Linked DNA regions of Cricetulus griseus. The protein of the gene in region 1 interacts with the protein of each later gene in a biochemical or structural test. Links are inferred from orthologs where the notes say so. Each region holds a gene or a part of one and is shown in the gene's direction. Other genes may lie near its edges.

What was found.
Region 2: the proteins of Mavs (region 1) and Irf3 form a complex in vitro, tested with the Homo sapiens proteins (2 studies listed by BioGRID). The link is inferred for Cricetulus griseus from reciprocal best matches to the Homo sapiens genes MAVS and IRF3.
Region 3: of the proteins of Mavs (region 1) and Trim31, one has a biochemical effect on the other in vitro, tested with the Homo sapiens proteins (2 studies listed by BioGRID). The link is inferred for Cricetulus griseus from reciprocal best matches to the Homo sapiens genes MAVS and TRIM31.
Region 4: the proteins of Mavs (region 1) and Rnf5 form a complex in vitro, tested with the Homo sapiens proteins (2 studies listed by BioGRID, with this or other methods). The link is inferred for Cricetulus griseus from reciprocal best matches to the Homo sapiens genes MAVS and RNF5.
Region 5: the proteins of Mavs (region 1) and Map1lc3a form a complex in vitro, tested with the Homo sapiens proteins (2 studies listed by BioGRID and IntAct, with this or other methods). The link is inferred for Cricetulus griseus from reciprocal best matches to the Homo sapiens genes MAVS and MAP1LC3A.

What each region holds. Positions count from the first base shown.
Region 1 is NC_048599.1:47,325,280-47,328,079, reverse strand, and holds the end of Mavs (mitochondrial antiviral-signaling protein), read left to right. Parts: intron 1-678; coding exon 679-1,107; 3' UTR 1,108-2,241; downstream 2,242-2,800.
Region 2 is NC_048599.1:153,883,774-153,887,925, forward strand, and holds the start of Irf3 (interferon regulatory factor 3), read left to right. Parts: upstream 1-1,325; 5' UTR 1,326-1,576; intron 1,577-2,247; 5' UTR 2,248-2,282; coding exon 2,283-2,540; intron 2,541-3,698; coding exon 3,699-3,870; intron 3,871-3,960; coding exon 3,961-4,031; intron 4,032-4,083; exon of another isoform or gene 4,084-4,152. Other genes in the region: Bcl2l12 (bcl-2-like protein 12), read right to left, coding at 221-363, 526-632.
Region 3 is NW_023276806.1:228,838,719-228,842,330, reverse strand, and holds part of Trim31 (E3 ubiquitin-protein ligase TRIM31), read left to right. Parts: intron 1-968; coding exon 969-991; intron 992-1,287; coding exon 1,288-1,403; intron 1,404-2,539; coding exon 2,540-2,614; intron 2,615-3,494; coding exon 3,495-3,536; intron 3,537-3,612.
Region 4 is NW_023276806.1:231,214,311-231,218,513, reverse strand, and holds the start of Rnf5 (E3 ubiquitin-protein ligase RNF5), read left to right. Parts: upstream 1-1,375; 5' UTR 1,376-1,453; coding exon 1,454-1,593; intron 1,594-3,991; coding exon 3,992-4,010; intron 4,011-4,203. UniProt on the Homo sapiens protein: Membrane-bound E3 ubiquitin-protein ligase that mediates ubiquitination of target proteins. May function together with E2 ubiquitin-conjugating enzymes UBE2D1/UBCH5A and UBE2D2/UBC4.
Region 5 is NC_048599.1:24,365,432-24,369,160, reverse strand, and holds Map1lc3a (microtubule-associated proteins 1A/1B light chain 3A), read left to right. Parts: upstream 1-1,463; 5' UTR 1,464-1,724; coding exon 1,725-1,764; intron 1,765-2,071; coding exon 2,072-2,127; intron 2,128-2,211; coding exon 2,212-2,318; intron 2,319-2,586; coding exon 2,587-2,749; 3' UTR 2,750-3,190; downstream 3,191-3,729. Other genes in the region: Pigu (phosphatidylinositol glycan anchor biosynthesis class U protein precursor), read right to left, coding at 3,671-3,729. UniProt on the Homo sapiens protein: Ubiquitin-like modifier involved in formation of autophagosomal vacuoles (autophagosomes). While LC3s are involved in elongation of the phagophore membrane, the GABARAP/GATE-16 subfamily is essential for a later stage in autophagosome maturation.

The sequences.
Region 1 (2,800 bases):
TCTGCCCTGCCCTCTGACCCTTTTAGTCTCTGTTCTGTCTCTGGTCTGGTTCTTCAAGGTGTTGGGACCGAGGGGAATCAGCCTCATCCAGCACTTACCCCTTGTTTTCTAGGAGGCATGATAGACCTTCGGCAGAGTGGGGCATGGGACCACCCCCACTGACACGTACATTAACTCACTTGGAGCTCAGAGCCCCCAGTTAAGCAGTACCATTTCGTAGATGAAGTAGTGAGGGATGAACTTGATGGCTCATGTGCCTTGTTCATTGAACAGTGGTCTCAAGCATCTAGCTTGGAGCAGCTACTCTAACTCAGTGACCCCTACAGCTACTTCCCCCAAGGCCTGTTTACCCTAAAGGAACCAAGTTCACAAGCCTTGGATTCTTGGGCTGCCCTGTGACTCTCAGGCCCAGGTAGTGTAAGATGGGTCACACCCCAGCAAGGGCTCCCTAGCAGTGATGCTCACAGCAGCTCAGTGAGTGGGAGAGGGCTGCTCTGGAAGGCTTACTGCAGGGTCTTGGTCACTTCCCTCCCATCTGTGTGTGTATCACTGATGAGTTGAACCTCCAAGAGAGGGTGGTCTGAGCTATTGTGGGATGCTAGTTCATGCCCTGGCCACACAACCAAGTTTGTCTCCCTGTCATCCGAATCCCTTCCAACATTCTCCTTGTGTTTCCAGGAGACCCTAGAGCCTCCAGCAAGCACAGTCACCACTAGAAGCAGCTTGCCCAGACCAGATATCAGTTCCAGGAGCTTGCACTCTGGGCCAGAGATGGGCAAACCAGGTGCACTGTTGTCCCAGGTGGACGAGCCATTCTCAGGATGCTCTATGGACCTTGCCATCAGCCCTAGCAGCTCCTTGGGCTCCGAACCCAATCATGGTCCAGAGGAGAATGAATATTCGTCCTTTAGGATCCAGGTGGATGAAGACCCCAGTGCTGACCTTCTGGTGGGAAACCCTGGGCCACTAGCTATCCCGGAGTCCCCAGAAGTTGAAGAGCTTTGTGTCAGTCAAATATCCTGGGCTAAGTGGCTCGGGGCAACTGGTGCACTCTTGGCTGCATTCCTGGGAGTGATGCTGTACCGTAGTAGGCACCTGGCCCAATGAAGATTCAGCTGTGTGCCACGCACTTGCCCAGTTCTGCCAAGCATGGTCTCTAGGCTCGGACTGGTGGAGGCTAAGTCAGGGGAACTTAGAGATGGTGAGGTCCATCAAGCCATCTGTGGGGTAGGGGAGAGACATTCTTTCCATCCTAGTTCATGACATCTTCTGGTCTTTAGCTCTTTGGGGCACTGGATTACCTCCACTGCTTCTGGCCTGCCCACATGGCGGTTTAGGATTTTGTGCTATGTGCTCCTAAGGAGGTGTCCCCACCAACGTCATCCCTGTTGGCTGAAGCCTGAAGATGGGGAGGTATCACACTTCTGTTGACAGAGCCTCTCATCCTGCCCAGGTCTTTTGAAACACAAGCACGGGTGTATTGGTGAGAGCTCCCGTAACATCGTGTGCCTTCCACCAGCAGCCTGGCCTAAGGCCTCGGTACTAGAGCCTGCAGCAGAGTGGCTGGTTTCTAGGGAGCTTTGTTTAAGTCCTGTCTCTCTGGTCCCCCTCCACAGTCAGGCAACCCTAAGGGAAGGTCTGGAGGTTCCCTGTGGACTCTGAGAAAGCCAGAAGCAGCTGCCAGGCCTGAGAAAGACACTAGGAGCCCTGCTCCAGCCTCCTTACTCCACCTCTTCACCGCCTCCCTCCTGGTCTCCATTCTCTTTAGTCTCCTACACTGGATGATGGAATACCTAGTGGGCAGAGCTCAGGCTGGGTTTGAATTTCAGTTCTAAGCTTTCTCTGGCTTTAGCAGATGTTTAGCTTCTGTAGTCTTTTTTCCCAGTGTGGACAGTGAACCCTTTCACTGGGCTTTTCTGAGACTGAAGAACATAGATATTTACATAGTGCCTAGCCCAGAGGGTGTGACTACCAAGTAATTACACTCCTGCCCAGCCTGGTTGAACTAAGGTGAGCTTGAGAGGCAGAGTACATGGTAGTAATGTTACCCTCTTTGCTTCTGAGAGAACAGCTTTGGCCTACATAGTGCTTCTGTCTCTCTGGCCCTGTGATCTCTGGCAAAGTGTGCACCTCTGGGCTTCAATTTTCTCTCCTGTGAGATGCGGCAAATATGCATACATATGTGCTAATGTGTTCTAATGTTATCAAGATAATTAAATTAAAAGTTTATCTGTGAAAACCTGTGAGTTCTGCATTTCTTAGGAGTTGGTATCCAATTCCTCATGTTATGACTTTTAAATGGAAAGGTGCTGGGTCTCTTGGCTTCACAGTTAGAGACAGGTGCTAGCATATTCTGTTTTCTTCCATGGGCAGGAAGTTTAGTCACATCAGACAATGAGGTAGGTTTAGGCCAATTTTGGTAGTGCACAGCTTTAGTCCCAGCACTCGGGAGGCAGAGGTAGGTGAATCTCTGTGAGTTTAGGGCCAGCCTGGTCTCCAGAGCAAGTTCCAGGACAGCGAGAGCTGCACAGTGAGATCCTGTCTCCAGAAAAGAAAAGAAATACAATGAGACATATCGAGGGTATGCGCATGGGTTTTTAAAGGTACCCTTTGCTGGACAAGGGATAGGCATGGAGCCAACTCTATCTCAGCTCTGTTGTGAACATAAACCTTAGAGGCATTAGGGATTGGGGTGGCTATCACAATCTTCCTTGCATGTCCTAGGGAAAAATGACCTAATGACCTGTACTTTCTGAATTTCAAGGCAAACTTCAACCAGTGCCATGAATTCTAGATGTAA
Region 2 (4,152 bases), about 110 Mb from region 1:
GCTAAAACTGAGCAGTGTTCTGGGGGTGGGGGAGGGAGAGGGAGAGGGAAAGTACATGTGAAAATATTAATAATTTAATAAAAAAAAAAACAAGCCAAAATAAAAAAAAAAAAAAAAAAAAAACTGAGCAGTGTTCACCTTGCAACAGGTACTGTCTGGATTTTCCTAACCAAAGCTCCTACCCATTAAAGCTTCACAGGTGATCTGGATAATCTCTTACCAGGCTGGGAGCCATAGCAGGGGCGTAGGGGAAGGAAGCAGGGCCGAGAGGACTCCAGGGGAGGGGCTCCTCTCCCAAGGGGACAAGGAAGACATCTTCGGAGGCGGCTCAGGAAATCTGTTGGCTCCTCTTGGGCAGGGTTCCTGGGGACAAGAACCTCGGAGTGACCCCATGGAAGATCACTCTTCAAACTCGAGATAGGCATATGGGGTCAGATCTGAAAGGAGACAGGCTGGGACCAGTACCAAGACTCAGGAAGACCTTCCAGTCAAAAGCTGGCCCTGGGGGAATGGACACTCACTCACCTGGGTGGAGTTGGAACAGGGGACCCAGCAGCTTCACCGCGCCTAAGGAAGGCAGCCAAAACCCTAAGTGTGTCCTCTCGGAGCCCCAGATCTTCAGAGCCGGCCATGGAGGCACCTGAGGGAGAAAACAGAGCATGAACCCAAGTGTGGTGACAAGCTCAAACTTCTGAGTCCCTGAATGAACAGGGTGCCAGAACTCGGGAGACAGAAGGCTGGTCAGTGAGACAGAGTTGATTCCGTGGAGGAAAAGGGGGCTGGAGAAAGAAGGGTTTAAGACAGGAGGTAGCTGAGTGCTTAAACTCCTACATCCAGGAGAGGGAATGGGGTTTGGAACTCTCAGCCCTGAATGCTGAAAGATGCACTCATCCAGGTATCTAAGTCCTTAGGGGATAGAGAACTACCAATCCCAGTACGCTCGGCGGTACACATTGGCCCGATTTCCCCGCTTTTTCGCCGAGCAGCCTGCTGGGAGATGTAGTTCCAACTACCTTCGGCTAGCACCAGAGCCTCTGGGTGCTCGGACTCAGAGAGGCAGGACTGACTGTGGCCGCTCGTGCAACTGGTTCCCTTCCCTTTCTGTTCTAGTCCCTCCCTGGCACCCCGCTCACCTGGTTTGGGGCTCTGCTCTAGTCGCGCCGGCGCCGGCTCCCACGGTTTCACTCAATTTCATCAAACTTTTCTTGGTAAATTCAACTTTCCCGCGCCTGCGCACTGGGCCGACCTGCTAACCGCCCCAACGTTGAAGGGGCGTGGCGTTGTGTTGCAGTCTCATTTGCATATGGCGTTCCCAGCATGCCTATGGGCGGAAGTCCAAAAAAGGGCATTGAGAGAGTTGGGTGGCGCCCAGAGGTGCTCTCTCGGCTTTTGCGTTTCTTACCCAAATTATGAGAAAATTGTTTTCATCCCAAAATATCGTTAGAAAAGACAGTCCCAGCGCTCGGAGGCTTAGCTGACAGGAGGGGAAGGGTGCGTGGCTGCGAGACTCAGAACCACTGGGAGCCCTGAAGCCAGTGTTGGCCCCGGCGCCCCACGAGCGCGCGATTCCTCCCCGGTAGGTAACGCGGAAGAATCGGGAGGGTGGCGGCCTCAGGAGCTCGGCTACCGAGAACCAAAGGGCCGCGCGATGAAGACGCAGGCCTGCAGTCTCTCAGCACTCGGGCTGAAGGTAGCGATACTGCTGGAAATTCAAGGCCAGTCTGGACCTCAGGATGAGCTGCAGACTAGCCTGGGCTCCTGGATAAGTTTGAGGCTACCTTTGTTTACAGTGGAATCCGAGGCCAGCTTGGGCCACACAGAGAGTCCCAGGCCAGTTTGGGTTGCAGTTGAAGACCAGCCTATGCTACGTACTAAGACCCTGTCTCAAAGCATCCATAAAAAGAATATAGAAAAATCAAAATAGAAGAAGCCTGGAAACAGGCGACTGCACTTGAGAGAATACTCTGGAAATAAGCCAGGGTTTTCGGTGCAAGGGAACTGTGGGTGAGGGAGCAGTCAGTCTTGGAAAGACTAGGGAAAGAGGGCTCCACCCTAGAAGCGGGGTACCTGCTTTGGCTAACAGAGAAGGAACTGATGGGTAGGTACAGAGTTTCTACCGAAGACGGCCCCACTGGCTATGAAAGGGCGGAAGGGCTTTTCCGTTTGTGCCCCCACGAAAGCATGAGTGAAAGATTTGCGCCGTGACGGGTCAAGGAGGTTTCAGTGCGTTTGCCCCTTGACACGCAGGCTTTAGGAACTGCCCTGTGTGCGCAGGCCCGAGCATGGGAACCCCGAAACCGCGGATCTTGCCCTGGCTGGTGTCGCAGCTGGACCTGGGGCAGCTGAAAGGCGTGGCCTGGCTGGATGAGAGCCGCACTCGGTTCCGGATCCCCTGGAAGCATGGCCTGCGGCAGGACGCCCAGATGGCTGACTTTGGCATCTTCCAGGTGCTGGGGGCCAAAGACTTTGAAAGACTTTGGAAGACTTTGGAGAGGCGTTCCTGGGCGTGGCTAGGCAGGGGCGGGGTCTTGCTAATGAAGGTGGGTAGGACTGGGAGGGATAGACAGGAACGGATCAGCAGATTACAAGACTATAACCCGGAAATTAAGTTTGGATTGCTTAAGGACCGGCTATAGCAGTGTTTCTCAACTTGAGGGTCTCAGATCAGATTTTTTTTTTTTTTTTTTTTGGGTTTTCGAGACAGGGTTTCTCTGTGGCTTTGGAGGCTGTCCTGGAACTAGCTCTTGTAGACCAGGCTGGTCTCGAACTCACAGAGATCCGCCTGCCTCTGCCTCCCGAGTGTTGGGATTAAAGGCGTGCACCACCAACACCCGGCCAGATCAGATATTTATATTACGATTCATAACAGTAGCAAACTACAGTTATTAAGTAGTAACGACAATCATTTTATGGTTGGGGTCACTACAGCAGGAACTGTATTAAAAGGCTGCAGTATTAAGAAGGTTGATAATTACAGCTGCAGAGGATGGGAGATCTTTGGGGGTGGGCTCTTGATTTTAGAACCCTTAAATCTTAAGGTCTGAGAATGCCTTATGGATGGAGTCATTGACATAGCATGGACTAGAGGTAGTAATAGAATGAGAGACTGGAGCCGGGCGTTGGTGATACACACCTTTAATCCCAGCACTCGGGAGGCAGGCAGGCAGATCTCTGTGAGTTTGAAGCCAGCCTGGTCTACAAGAGCTAGTTCCAAGACAGCCTCCAAAGCAATACAGAAAAACCCTGTCTCAAACCGCCCCCCAACAAAAAAAAAAAAAAAGGCTTGAAGGCTGAGAAGGTGGCACAGTTTGTAATCCTAGCACTCTGGAGGCATCAGCAGGAGTTCAGCTGTGTAAGAAACCCTGTTTCAAAACCAAAAAGGATTTTGTTTTTCAAGACAGGGTTTCTCTGTGGCTTTGGAGGCTGTCCTGGAATTAGCTCTTGTAGACCAGGCTGGTCTCCAACTCACAGAGATCTGCCTGCCTCTGCCTCCCAAATGCTGAGGATTAAAGGCATGCGCCACCACTGCCAGGTTAAAAAGGATTTCTTTTGGTGCAGGAAATAGTAGATAAAGATGAGGATGGAAGGTGTAGGGGCCCAGTCTCAAACCACAAGATGGAACATGGTGGGAGGTGTCAGGACCTAAAGGCAGAGTCTAAGTCGTTTCCCCTCCTATTCTGGAATCACTGGTTTGTCAGGCCTGGGCCGAAGCCAGTGGTGCCTACACCCCAGGAAAGGATAAGCCAGACCTGTCAACCTGGAAGAGGAACTTCCGGTCAGCCCTGAACCGGAAAGAAGTGTTGCGATTAGCTGATGACAAGAGCAAGGACCCTTTTGATCCTCATAAAGTGTATGAGTTTGTGACTCCAGGTGTGTGTAACAAGGCTGGCTTGGGATCATAAAAACCTTGGGATCAGGAGGCCCTCTGCCCTTCATTTTACTTACCCTTTCTCTGAACAGCAGCAAGAGACTTTGTACATCTGGACACCTCTCCTGATACCAATGGCAAAAGCAGTCTGTCTGATCCCCAGGTGAGGAGGAACCAGTCCTGTACCTCATCCTTGCCCTGTCTGTCCTCCCCAGCCCCAGCTTTCACCCTCCACTCCTTCACCAGTCTGCTGCCCTCTTGAGCCGGCTGAAGCTGTTGACTAG
Region 3 (3,612 bases), on another chromosome or scaffold:
GACATTAAAGTCAGATACTTTCCTTTCCTGAGGGATTTATTTCCCTGAGGCTCCCACCGACCCCATCATAGAATCCACGACCTTTATCTTTCCTACGTTAAGTGAGCACTTTTGATAGAGCTCCACTCCAGGTTTTAAAGGGAAGCCTGTCATTCCCCACAAGGCTCCACTCATACTATCTCTGACACAGTGTGCTGTTCTCTCTAATGACCTTTACTACTTTTTATTGCCTTCTGGAACAAATCCACCAACTGCTACTCTTCTTCACCTAACCCAGAAGTTCTCAACCTGTGTGGCTAGATCCCTCTTGTGGGCGGGTTCCACTGACTCTTTCACAGGGGCCACCCGAGACTATGGAAAATATTAGATATTTTCATTCCAAGTTATAAGAGTATCAGATTTACAGTTATGATGTAGCAATGAAAATAATTTTATGGTGTGGGGGGTGGGTCACCACAACATAAGGAACTATATTAAAGGCTAGCAGCATTAGGAAGGTTGAGAACTGAAACCCCTCCTGTAATTCAGGACACTGAGGTAAGAGGACTGCTGCTAGTCCAAAGCTGACATGAGCAAAGATCAAGACACTGTCTCAAACAGCTGGGCACAGTGTCTCACACGTGTAATTCTAGCACTCCAGAGGTAGGAGGGTTCCCTAGATCACTAGAGTTCAAGGTCAGCTAGGACACACACACCCATACAAGCACACGGCACACACACACACAGGCACACGCACACAGGCACACACATATATAGAGGCATGTTCACACACAGAAACACACATGCAAACAGAGGCATGTTCACACACAGAAACACACATGCATACAAAGGCATGTTCACACAACAGGCAGAAGAGAGAAAGGACGGAAAACTGGGGTGTCCTCACTCTGCTTCTAGCTGAGTCTGAACCCCTTCTTTGGCACCTGTGACTCTGGCAAGCTCTGATAAGTTCTCTCTTTCTCTTCCAGGGCATCATAGACAACTTGAGCAGGTATGATGGGCGTCCCAGTGTACCATGCTTTCTGGTTCACTTGCACATACAACATTCAGCCTATTTCCAAATATGTTCACATCCCCCAATAACTCTGCTATAAATGACTTAGGCTGCAGATGGGGAAGACCAAACTGGCCACAGCAGCACAGTAGCTTTTTTTATTTTCACCATATTCCCATCCTGGCCTCCTGACACTCAGCTTCCTGGCTCTACCCCAGAAACCACCTCCCAGACCCTTGCTGCCCACTCTCTGTCCCCTGAACTCACCACTCAGATCAACATTATCTTCACAGGAGTGTGGAATTTAAGTTTCTCAATCCAACCCCAGTTCCTGAGGACCTGGAGAGAAAAACCAGGGAAGCAATAGCAAGACATGCAGTCATCATAAAAAGCCTGGAGGGATTAAAAGGTGAGGTGTAGCTGCCACTGCCTGTGCTTATCTGCCTCAGGATTCTTTCCATCACCCCAGACGCTGCCTGAACTCTCTTGGTGCTAGCCCCTAAGCCTGTCAGAAGCTAAGCTGAAAGCTGGGCAGTTTCAAAGCATCATTATCCAGAAATTTCTCATGCTACAGCCCCAAAGCCAAAGCACTTCTTCTCTGGGAATTTTTCCTTGATTACTAGGTGGTGAACATGGGGCTAGAAGCATGTTTCCAATTTGTTAGCTGCTGGCCACATGTACCCCTGGGCACCAGAATTACAGCATTCACACATAGTGCAGGTAAAGAATAAACATTGACTCTGAAAGGCTTAATATTAAAATAGAACATAAGATATAATAATGAAAACAAAAGCAAACGGAAGTACTGTCCAGGGTAGTCTCTTATGGAAGAGTTCAATGGCCTTCCCATTTGAGCCTTCTAAGCATCTGGGACTCCAGCACCCAGCACTGTGCCTGGTAGCAGTAAGCCTTTATCCTACAAGCTGAAATGACAGTGTTTCTTAACATTCTGAGCTGAAGAAAACACTATTTAAATTCATTTCTTTTTTAAAGTTCTATTTATTTTATTTGTATGGGTGTTGTGTATGCATGTATCATGTGCTTGTCTGGTGCCCATGGATGTCAGAAGAGGTTGTCAGACTCCCTGGGGTTGGAGTTCCAGTGGGTGCTGGTAGTCGGACTGGGTCCACTGGTGCTTTTAACTACTGAGGCCTCTCTCCAGCCCCCTTTTTCTTTCCTTTTGAGACACTGTGTAAATATCCCAGACTCTGAAACTCGCTACATACCGTGGACTAGCCCAAAAGTTGTCATCCTCCTGCATCAGCTTCCTGGGTGTCAGCATCTTTTAGGATTGCAAAATGGTATCTAGAAAATTCAAAATTCAGTGGCTCGTGTTTGTGGCTCTTAATACCTTTGTTCTGGACTGAGCTGTACTGGACAACCACCTCAGGGAGACCCTAGGGCAGCTCTCCCTGTTTGGCTGCCTTCTTGGTCCACTGAGACTATGAGAGGAACACCAATATCACTTCTCCCTGCCCATATCAGCAATCAGGGATTCACTGTGTGGTCCTGGTTGCCTCTATATCCTTCACCCTCTCCTCGTAGACAACCTGAAGACTGAAGGGAAGAAAGATAAAAGCGCGTTCCTGGACAGCCTGAGTAAACAGGAGATGGAAAGATGTAAGTGTGTGCTAACCCTGCTGTTTGGGGAAAGTGAAGAATACAAGAGGAAGAGTTCTCTCTTTAGGGGGAGGACTGAGGGAGGAAGGTCCAGTGTGGGTGAACACCAATAAAGAACAAACTTACAGAATTGTTTTAGATTTTATGTGTAGCCAATCAGAGTGACACCAAACCAAAGACCAGAAAAAGCAAAGCAGCCAGCCACGAGACAGTTCTTATTTCTACCAAGGCTTGGGGCCAAAAGGGGTAATTCTGTCCTCAGCATGACTGCAGACTGAATACACTACACTCCTGTCTCCACCTGTCTTATATTCCTGCCTAGTGCTGGGATTAAAGGCATGGGATCCCAAGTGCTGAGATCACCTTGGTATGAGCTCTGTTTCTCTTTTAGACTGATTCACTCTCATGTAGCCCTTGGTGGCCTTGAACTAACAGAGATCCATCTGCCTCTGCCTCCCGAGTGCTGAGATTAAAGGTGTGGCCACCCTGCTTGTCCTCTACGGCTAACTAGTGGCTTGGGTGTGTGGCTAATTAGTGGCACTTAGTGTGTGTGTGTGTGTGTGTGTGTGTGTGTGTGTGTGTGGCTAACTAGTGGCTTAGCTCTTAACTAGGTGTGTGGCTAACTAGTGGCTTAGCTCTGCACTCTGATCTTCAGGCAAGCTTTATTTGTTAGATTACAGACAATGTATCACTACACAGCAAAACTGAGGAGTGGAGGAGACCCACTGAGACAATATCCTGTAATGATGTCATCTGAGGTGGTTCAGCTATGAGGGTAGCTAGGAAAAAGGTCAGGTTCAGCCTGCCATCCTCAATATGCCTTTTAATTTATAACCTCTTGCTATCAACCTAAAATTTGTTTTCTCTCTCCAATTTCTAGGGCACCTGTTACAGAAGAATAACTCAGACTTGCACAACTCAGGTAGGAATACTGCCTGGCACACTGGTCTTCCTGTAGGGAAGCAAGGGGCCTCCAGGTCTGCAGGTCAAATGTTCTG
Region 4 (4,203 bases), on another chromosome or scaffold:
GCCTCCATCAGTGTCAGGCTCGCCCCCCCCACCTCAGTCAGTGTGTCCGACCCCGCTGGCTCCCCGAAGCCTGTGCTGAGCGCCAGGCTCTCACCTGTCGGGGTTTGGAGCCACGGGCGCTTTCTATCGTGTGTGTCTCCCGCCCCGGGACACCTTTGCCCTGGATGAGTCCACACGGCGTGGTGGGAGGACTGTTACCTAATTCTGCGCCTTGGACCACACACTTTGGGTCACTGATTGTTGGAAGGGCCCCGGCTCTCGGAGCTGTGCGGCCAGGAAAAAGATCCAAAACTCTGCAGGGCAAGTGACAAGGAAGGGGCGGACCTACTCCATCCTGCCGCGGGCCACCCGAGGGGAGGGCCGGGCCCCCGGACGCCCACTCTCGGACGGTGGCGCCGGCCCTCCCGGGGTCACATCACACCGGGGGCGGCTGTGGCGGTCACCTAGAGAGGCCGAGCCGTCCAACCGCGGGAGCCGGGCTAACACCAGCGCGGCGCGCCGACGGCCGCACCATCCACTCGCCGGGCGAACCCCAGCTCTGCTCCCTGCTTGCCGAGGAGGGCGGGGCGGACCCGAGCGCTGCCCTCTGCGTCACCCAGGGAGCCCGGGGCCATCTTGAACCCCGCGACCCCGCTACCGCCGCCCTCTTCTCCCGAGCTCAGCACCGGCTCCTCTGCAGGCCTCGGCCAATCAGCGGCGAAGCAAACCGCCCAATCAAGCCGGGAGGGAGCCCCCGTCCGAGGACCCGGATGAGGCCGAGCCGAGGCCTTCGAACCCTCGGCCCCCCGCCAGCGGCGGCGCGGTTGCCATGGCGACGGGATGGAGTTGAACGGGGGGGGGGGGGGGGGACCGCCGGCGACTCCGCTCTCGCCGGGTTGGCGCGCTCGCCGCCCCTGCCCTCCCACCCCGTCCGCCTACTGCGCATGCTCGTTTCCCGTAGCCACGCCCCCCGTCGTGCCAGCCAATCATCGGACTTGGAACCGTACGCTCTGAAGTCCAATAGGAACCCGGACATTCTTCGAAAGCGGAAGAGAAGGAAAGAGAGCGGCTCCTAGTGGGCGAGTTCTGCCGGCCCGAGCCAATCCCGTCAGAGCTGTGGCTTTGACGGGCAGCTGCGTAAACGAATGAAGACCTCCCTGGCCGAGCTCATTATTACCAATCCCTCGGCACCGCATAGTGACTGAGGCTTCGCCAGCCAATCATCATCGTGCGAGGGCGGGACCCACACGTCCTTTTCCCGCCTCCGCCCTGTAGCTCAATCCCGTCCTTTGCCTCCTGCATGATTGGCAGGCGCCTCGACCAATAGTCATGAGAAAGCCTTGAAGTCTGCCCAACGACCGTGGGCAGGAGGCGGGCCTGGCGTGCTGGGGTGTGTGTGTGCGCGCTGTGTGAGCGTCTATGTGTGTGTGTCTGGGGGTGCCGAGGGGGACGTGGGGGCGAAGCACAACCGGCCATGGCAGCAGCGGAGGACGAGGACGGGGGCCCCGAAGGCCCAAACCGCGAGCGGGGCGGGGCGGGCGCGACCTTCGAATGTAATATTTGTCTGGAGACCGCTCGCGAGGCTGTGGTCAGCGTGTGCGGACACCTGTACTGGTGAGGGCCGCGCGGAGCGCGGGAGGGAGGGAGGGTGGGTGTGCAGAGGGCAGAGGGCAGAGGGCAGAGGGCAGCCGTCCGTCACACACGGGCACAGACACAGACACGCACACACGTACACATATATACATACATACACACAGACACGCACACACATATATACATACATACACACAGACACGCTCACAGACACAGACACGCACACACGTACACATATATACACACATACACACAGACACGCACACAGACACAGACACGCTCACAGACACAGACACGCACACACATATACATACACACACATACACACAGACACGCACACACTTATATACATACATACACACAGACACGCACACACATATACATACACACACACGCACACACTTATATACATACATACACGTACACACAGACATGCACACAGACACAGACACGCACACACGTACACTTACTTATATACATACATACACACAGACACGCTCACACGTATACATACATACACGTACACACAGACACGCACACACATACATACACGTACACACAGACACGCTCACACGTATATACATACACACACAGACACGCACACACTTATATACATACATACACATACACACAGACACGCACACAGACACAGACACGCACACACGTACACATATATACATACATACACGTACACACAGACACGCTCACACATATATACATACATACACACAGACACACAGACACATACACATATGTACACATACACACAGACACGCACACACATATATACATACATACATGTACACACAGACACGTTCACACATACATACATACACAGACACAGACACACATACATACACACAGACACGCACACACATATATACATACACACACAGACACGCTCACACATACACGTACACATACATACATACACATACATACACAAGACACACAGACACACACTCACAGACACACATATACATACACACACAGACACGCTCACACACATATATACACATACAGACACACGCTCACACAGACACACACTCACACACACCACACAGGCGCACACCCGGGAGGCCTGAGGTGGGCACTGGGGTCCCGGTGTGGGGAAAGCAGGGTGTCGGGAGGGGGTGGGGTGGGAGCGGGGACGCTGAGGTGTGGCCGAGCCCGAGGTTGACACAAACACACAGGACAGACTTTCCGGTCAGGGGAGCTGCTCCTCGTCAGAGGACGGCCGGACACAGGGACTGTGTGTGTGTCTGTGTGCTTGTGTGACAGAGTGTGTGCGTACGTGAGAGGGGTGTGAAGCCGGAGGGCAGAGGCCCTGTGAAGGGCAGACAGACAGAGGGACTTTGGCGCCTGATGTGACAGGAGGAGCAGCAGGGCTGTAAGGGAGGACGGAGCGGGGGCTGAAGAGAACCCTGTTGAGTTGGGAAATCAGGGTAAGAGGCAGAAAATAGACAGGCTGAGGCAGGGAGGTGCGCGCGCGTGTGTCACTGTGTGTGTGTCAGTGTGTGTGTGTGTATGTGCATGTGTGTGTGTGCGTGTGTCAGTGTGTGTGTCAGTGTGTGTCAGTGTGTGTGTGTATGTGCATGTGTGTCACTGTGTGTGTGTCAGTGTGTGTGTGTCAGTGTGTGTATGTGCGTGTGTGTGTGCGTGTGTGTGTGACACTGTGTGTGTGTCTGTGTGTGTGCGCGCGCGTGTGTGTCACTGTGTGTCACTGTGTGTGTCAGTGTGTGTGCGTGTGTGTCAGTGTGTGTGTCAGTGTGTGTGTCTGTGTGTGTGTGCGTGTCTGTCAGTGTGTGTGTCACTGTGTGTGTGTCACTGTGTGTCAGTGTGTGTCACTGTGTGTGTGTCAGTGTGTGTGTGTGTGTCACTGTGTGTCACTGTGTGTCACTGTGTGTGTCAGTGTGTGTGCGTGTGTGTCAGTGTGTGTGAGTGTCAGTGTGTGTGTCTGTGTGTGTGTGCGTGTCTGTCAGTGTGTGTGTCACTGTGTGTGTGTCACTGTGTGTGTCAGTGTGTGTCACTGTGTGTGTCAGTGTGTGTGCGTGTGTGTCACTGTGTGTGTCACTGTGTGTGTGTCAGTGTGTGTGTGTGTGTGTCACTGTGTGTGTGCAGACAGAGGGAGGGAGGGAGCAGAAACAATGTGTTGCACGGGAGAAGCCTGGGGCCCTGGGGACGAGGGCTGTTGTCGGGAGGGCTGTTGTCAGGAGGACGGTTGTTGGGAGAGCGGTTGTCGGAGAGCGGTTGTCGGCAGGATGGTTGTCGGGAGGACGGTTGTCAGGATGCCCTCGGTGACCGCAGGCTGTGGAGGCAGAAACAGCCGCAGTACCGGGGCGGCTGCTGCAGTGGGCACAGGGTGCCGGCTGTTTTCTGCCATGTGATGAGTTTTGTTTCTCTCCTCCTCCGTGTGCAGCTGGCCCTGTCTTCATCAGGTATGTGCTCCTGTGCTCCTGACATGGGCGGGGCGCGGGGTATGTGCTCCTGTGCTCCTGACATGGGCAGGGAGGGCGGGGAGGGCGGGGAGGGCGGGGAGGGCTCGGGGTATGTGCTCCTGTGCTCCTGTGCTCCTGACATGGGCGGGGAGGGCGGGGAGGGCTCCACGACCTTCGTGTGTCTGCAAACACT
Region 5 (3,729 bases), about 23 Mb from region 1:
CTGCCTACTCACCACAGGGAAAACAGGAATGTGAAATACTTTCTGTAGGAGGAATGTCTTGTAGTAGTGAAGGTACTAAATAGGACTTAAGGCCATAATTCAGGAAACCTACTGTCCTACCCTAATTTGTGGGGGCTACATACTAGCTTAGCATTTGAGGGATATAAGGCCTGGCTGATGTCTGCAGGGGCAGCCTCTTTGATCTAACCTTGGAATTGAACTCAGGTCCTCGTGCTTGAGGGCAAACACTCTTGTCTACAGTGCCATATAGCTGCCTTCCTTTTACTGTTTGAAATATGTACCTGAACAAGCAGACAATAATATACTTCTTTAAGATTTTATTTATTTATCATGTATACAACATTCTGCTTCCATGTATATCTGCACACCAGCAGAGGGCATCAGATCTCATAACAGATGGTTGTGAGCCACCATGTGGTTGCTGGGAATTGAACTCAGGACCTCTGGAAGAGCAGTCGGTGCTCTTAACCTCTGAGCCATCTCTCCAGCCCAATAATATACTTTTAAACATATCCAGCTTCCTAGGACATACAAAAAAACAAAACAAAACAAAGCCGGGCAGTGGTGGCACAAGCCTTAATTCCAGGAGACAGAGGCTGAGGCAGAGGCAGGGGAATCTCTGTGTTTGAGGCCAGCCTGGTCTACAAAGTATGTTCAGGACAGCTAGGGCTGTTACACAGAGAGACCAATTTTGAAAGTTCTTTAGGAGCTGCCTCTCCGTGTCCATGCTCCCCACTTCCCATAAAGCCTGGGAAAATGAATTTAAGCCTTCCTCGAGGTAGGAAAGTACTGTTCCCTGCGTAACATTCCTAGACTATACTTCTTTCTAGCTTCTCAAAGGGCTCTACGTGTGAATTCTCAGTTCGTGTGTTGTCAATTCCGCATGTTCTCTATTGCCTGGTAAGCTGCTTCTGATACATCCTCCCATTCCGTGATTTTTCTCTCCTACTTTATCTACATCGCCTATTAACCCCACATCGGGAGACTATGCTTTTTACGGCTGATGCAGAAACTTTTTAAAGCCCGGCGGGGTGGGAGTGGGGAGCTGGAGCGTTAGTTAGCTCCACAGTTAAGAGCACTCGCTACTATTACAGAGGAGCTCGGTTCGGTTCCCAGCACCGCCAGTAACTCACTCCAGCCTCCGGAAATCCGACTTTGACCTCCTCGGGCACCCGCACTCGCGTCGTACACAGACACGTAAAACTTTTAAAAGCCGGGGCGTTCCACTCCCTCCCCGCCCGGTAGTAACCCGCCCGTCCTCCGTTACTACCTTTGATCTCTAAGTTCAGTGAAGGGGCAGTGTCAAGCGCTGGAGGGGACGACCAACCGGCTTTCCCCTCAGTCTGAGGAGCCAAGAGACAAGCCCGCCAGCCGTGACGTCACAGGACCGTGACGCGCCCGGAGCTCCGCCCCCTTGCGCCCTGCGCCGGGAATCCGGGCTGCCTGCGCCGTGGCGTCACAGGTCCGGGCAGGCGGGTTTTCCGTCGGCCCAATGGGAGCGGCGCGCCGGCCTCCCCTTTAAGGAATGTTGTGACCTGACGTCACCCAGGCGAGTTACCTCCCGCAGCCACCACCGCCAGGCTCAGCGCGAGCCCTGCAGCCCTTGAGCTCGAGCCCCGGAGTCCCCGGCGCACCGAACCGCAGCCACATCCCTGAGCCGCGCGCCCCGGAGCCCCGGCTGCGCGCCCCGCCGGGCCCGCGCCATGCCCTCAGACCGGCCTTTCAAGCAGCGGCGCAGCTTCGGTGAGGCCCTGGGGGCGAACTGCGAGCAGGGATCGAGGGATGGGGGTGCCAGCCGACCCCGATTGCCGCAGGTGACGTCAGCCCCGTGACGTCAGGCACCGGCCGGCCGGACCCCGGGTGGGGAGGCCGCAAGGCCTGGCAGGGTCGCCCGTCTCCCCACCGCGTCCCCGGTCGAGGGCTGTGGGGCCGACGGCCCCGGGGGCGGGCGCTGGGGCGGGGCGGGCCCGGAGCCGCCCCTCGGGGACGGCGAGGCGGAGTCGCGGGAGGCCTCAGCCCTGCCGGGCCTCACGCCGAGTGCTGTCCGCAGCTGACCGCTGTAAGGAGGTGCAGCAGATCCGCGACCAGCACCCCAGCAAGATCCCGGTGAGTCTCTAGCCCCCCCGGCCACGCCCTGTCCTGCCAGGCCCCGCCCCTGGCTCACGAGTCCCCCGCCCACTATGCTCCCAGGTGATCATCGAGCGCTACAAGGGTGAGAAGCAGCTGCCTGTCCTGGATAAGACCAAGTTTCTGGTCCCAGACCATGTTAACATGAGCGAGTTGGTCAAGATCATCCGGTGCGTGGGCAGCCTCCTGAAGCCCTTGGGTGGGGTCAGGGCCAGGTTCCACTCGGAAGGGGTGGAGTGGGGCAAGGGGACAGGATATAGGGCATCCAGCCCCTGTTCTAGGAGGCTGGACAAGGTCAAGGTCGGGGTTGGAGTGAACTTCTACAAAGGTGAGAGCGTCTAGCCCGGGCTGTGTTGGTTCAAAAGTGGAGATTCGGGAGGGACACCCAGGCCCCCAGCAGGCGACCTCCTCACCTGGCATGCCCTCCTGCCTCTGCAGGCGCCGCCTGCAGCTCAACCCCACGCAGGCCTTCTTCCTGCTGGTGAACCAGCACAGCATGGTGAGCGTATCCACGCCCATCGCTGACATCTACGAACAGGAGAAGGATGAAGACGGATTCCTCTACATGGTCTATGCCTCCCAAGAAACCTTTGGCTTCTGAGTCAGGAGGAGGGGTGGGGGATGGTTGGGGATTCTGGTCAAGCTTTCTCCAGGGAGGTCCTGGCTCCTAAGCTGAGCTATTTCATTCCCGAGTGGGTTAGGCAGAGATGTGAACTCCCTACCCCTCCCCTGGTGGGGGACACCAGCCAGCCTACCATGCTCTGGTGTAGGTCCTGCCAGTCACGTTAGGGTTGCTCCTCTGGGTACTGGCTCAGTTGGGAGTGGGTGGGGAACAGCACCCCTGCTGTGTGGTTTGTCTTTTTTTTTTTTTTTTTTTTTTTAGCCCCTTGCCTGTCTGCCCACCTGTCCCTTATCCACCTGAGGCATTTGCCTCCTGCCAGGACCTGCCCATCTCTGAAAGGCTGACCCCGTTGTCCTGACATGGTGTATGGATCTGTGGTCATTTCCTCAGCAAAATAAAGATTGCTTAGGCCTGCCTGGCCCTTTGCCTCCAGCTGCTTGTTTGGGAGTAGGGAGGGCTGCTAGGTGACCGTCTCCACATACTTGTGCCAGTCAGGACACAGGCTTGTGTTCTATGGACTTGGGTTTCCAAAAACCTACTTCTTAGTACAGGATACTCTGCAGTATTAGGGGCCAGATTCACCCCACTCCAGGAATAGATGGCATCAGAACAACAATGAAAAAACCCACACATTTATTAAGTAGCCACAACCTATAAAGCCCTGCTCACCTGCAGGTTTCCCCTTCCTTCCTGTGCAGTCACAAAGTGGGAGGTCCAAGTGGGGTGCTCCAAACTTCTCCCCCTGGGCCAGCTATGAGTCCCCTATGGTACCAGAGATTTGTAACCCTGGATTTGAACCTCTTCTGCCTGAGGACTCGCCTGCTGGCAACTCTGGATAAGGGACCTGGCGGGCTCCTGGCCCTTCCCCCTCTTGTCCATGCAGTTCTGTGCCAGCCAGGGCTACTTGAGCACAAGCATAGCCTCTGTGCCGTCCTTGGCAGTCAAATAGAGACCATGTG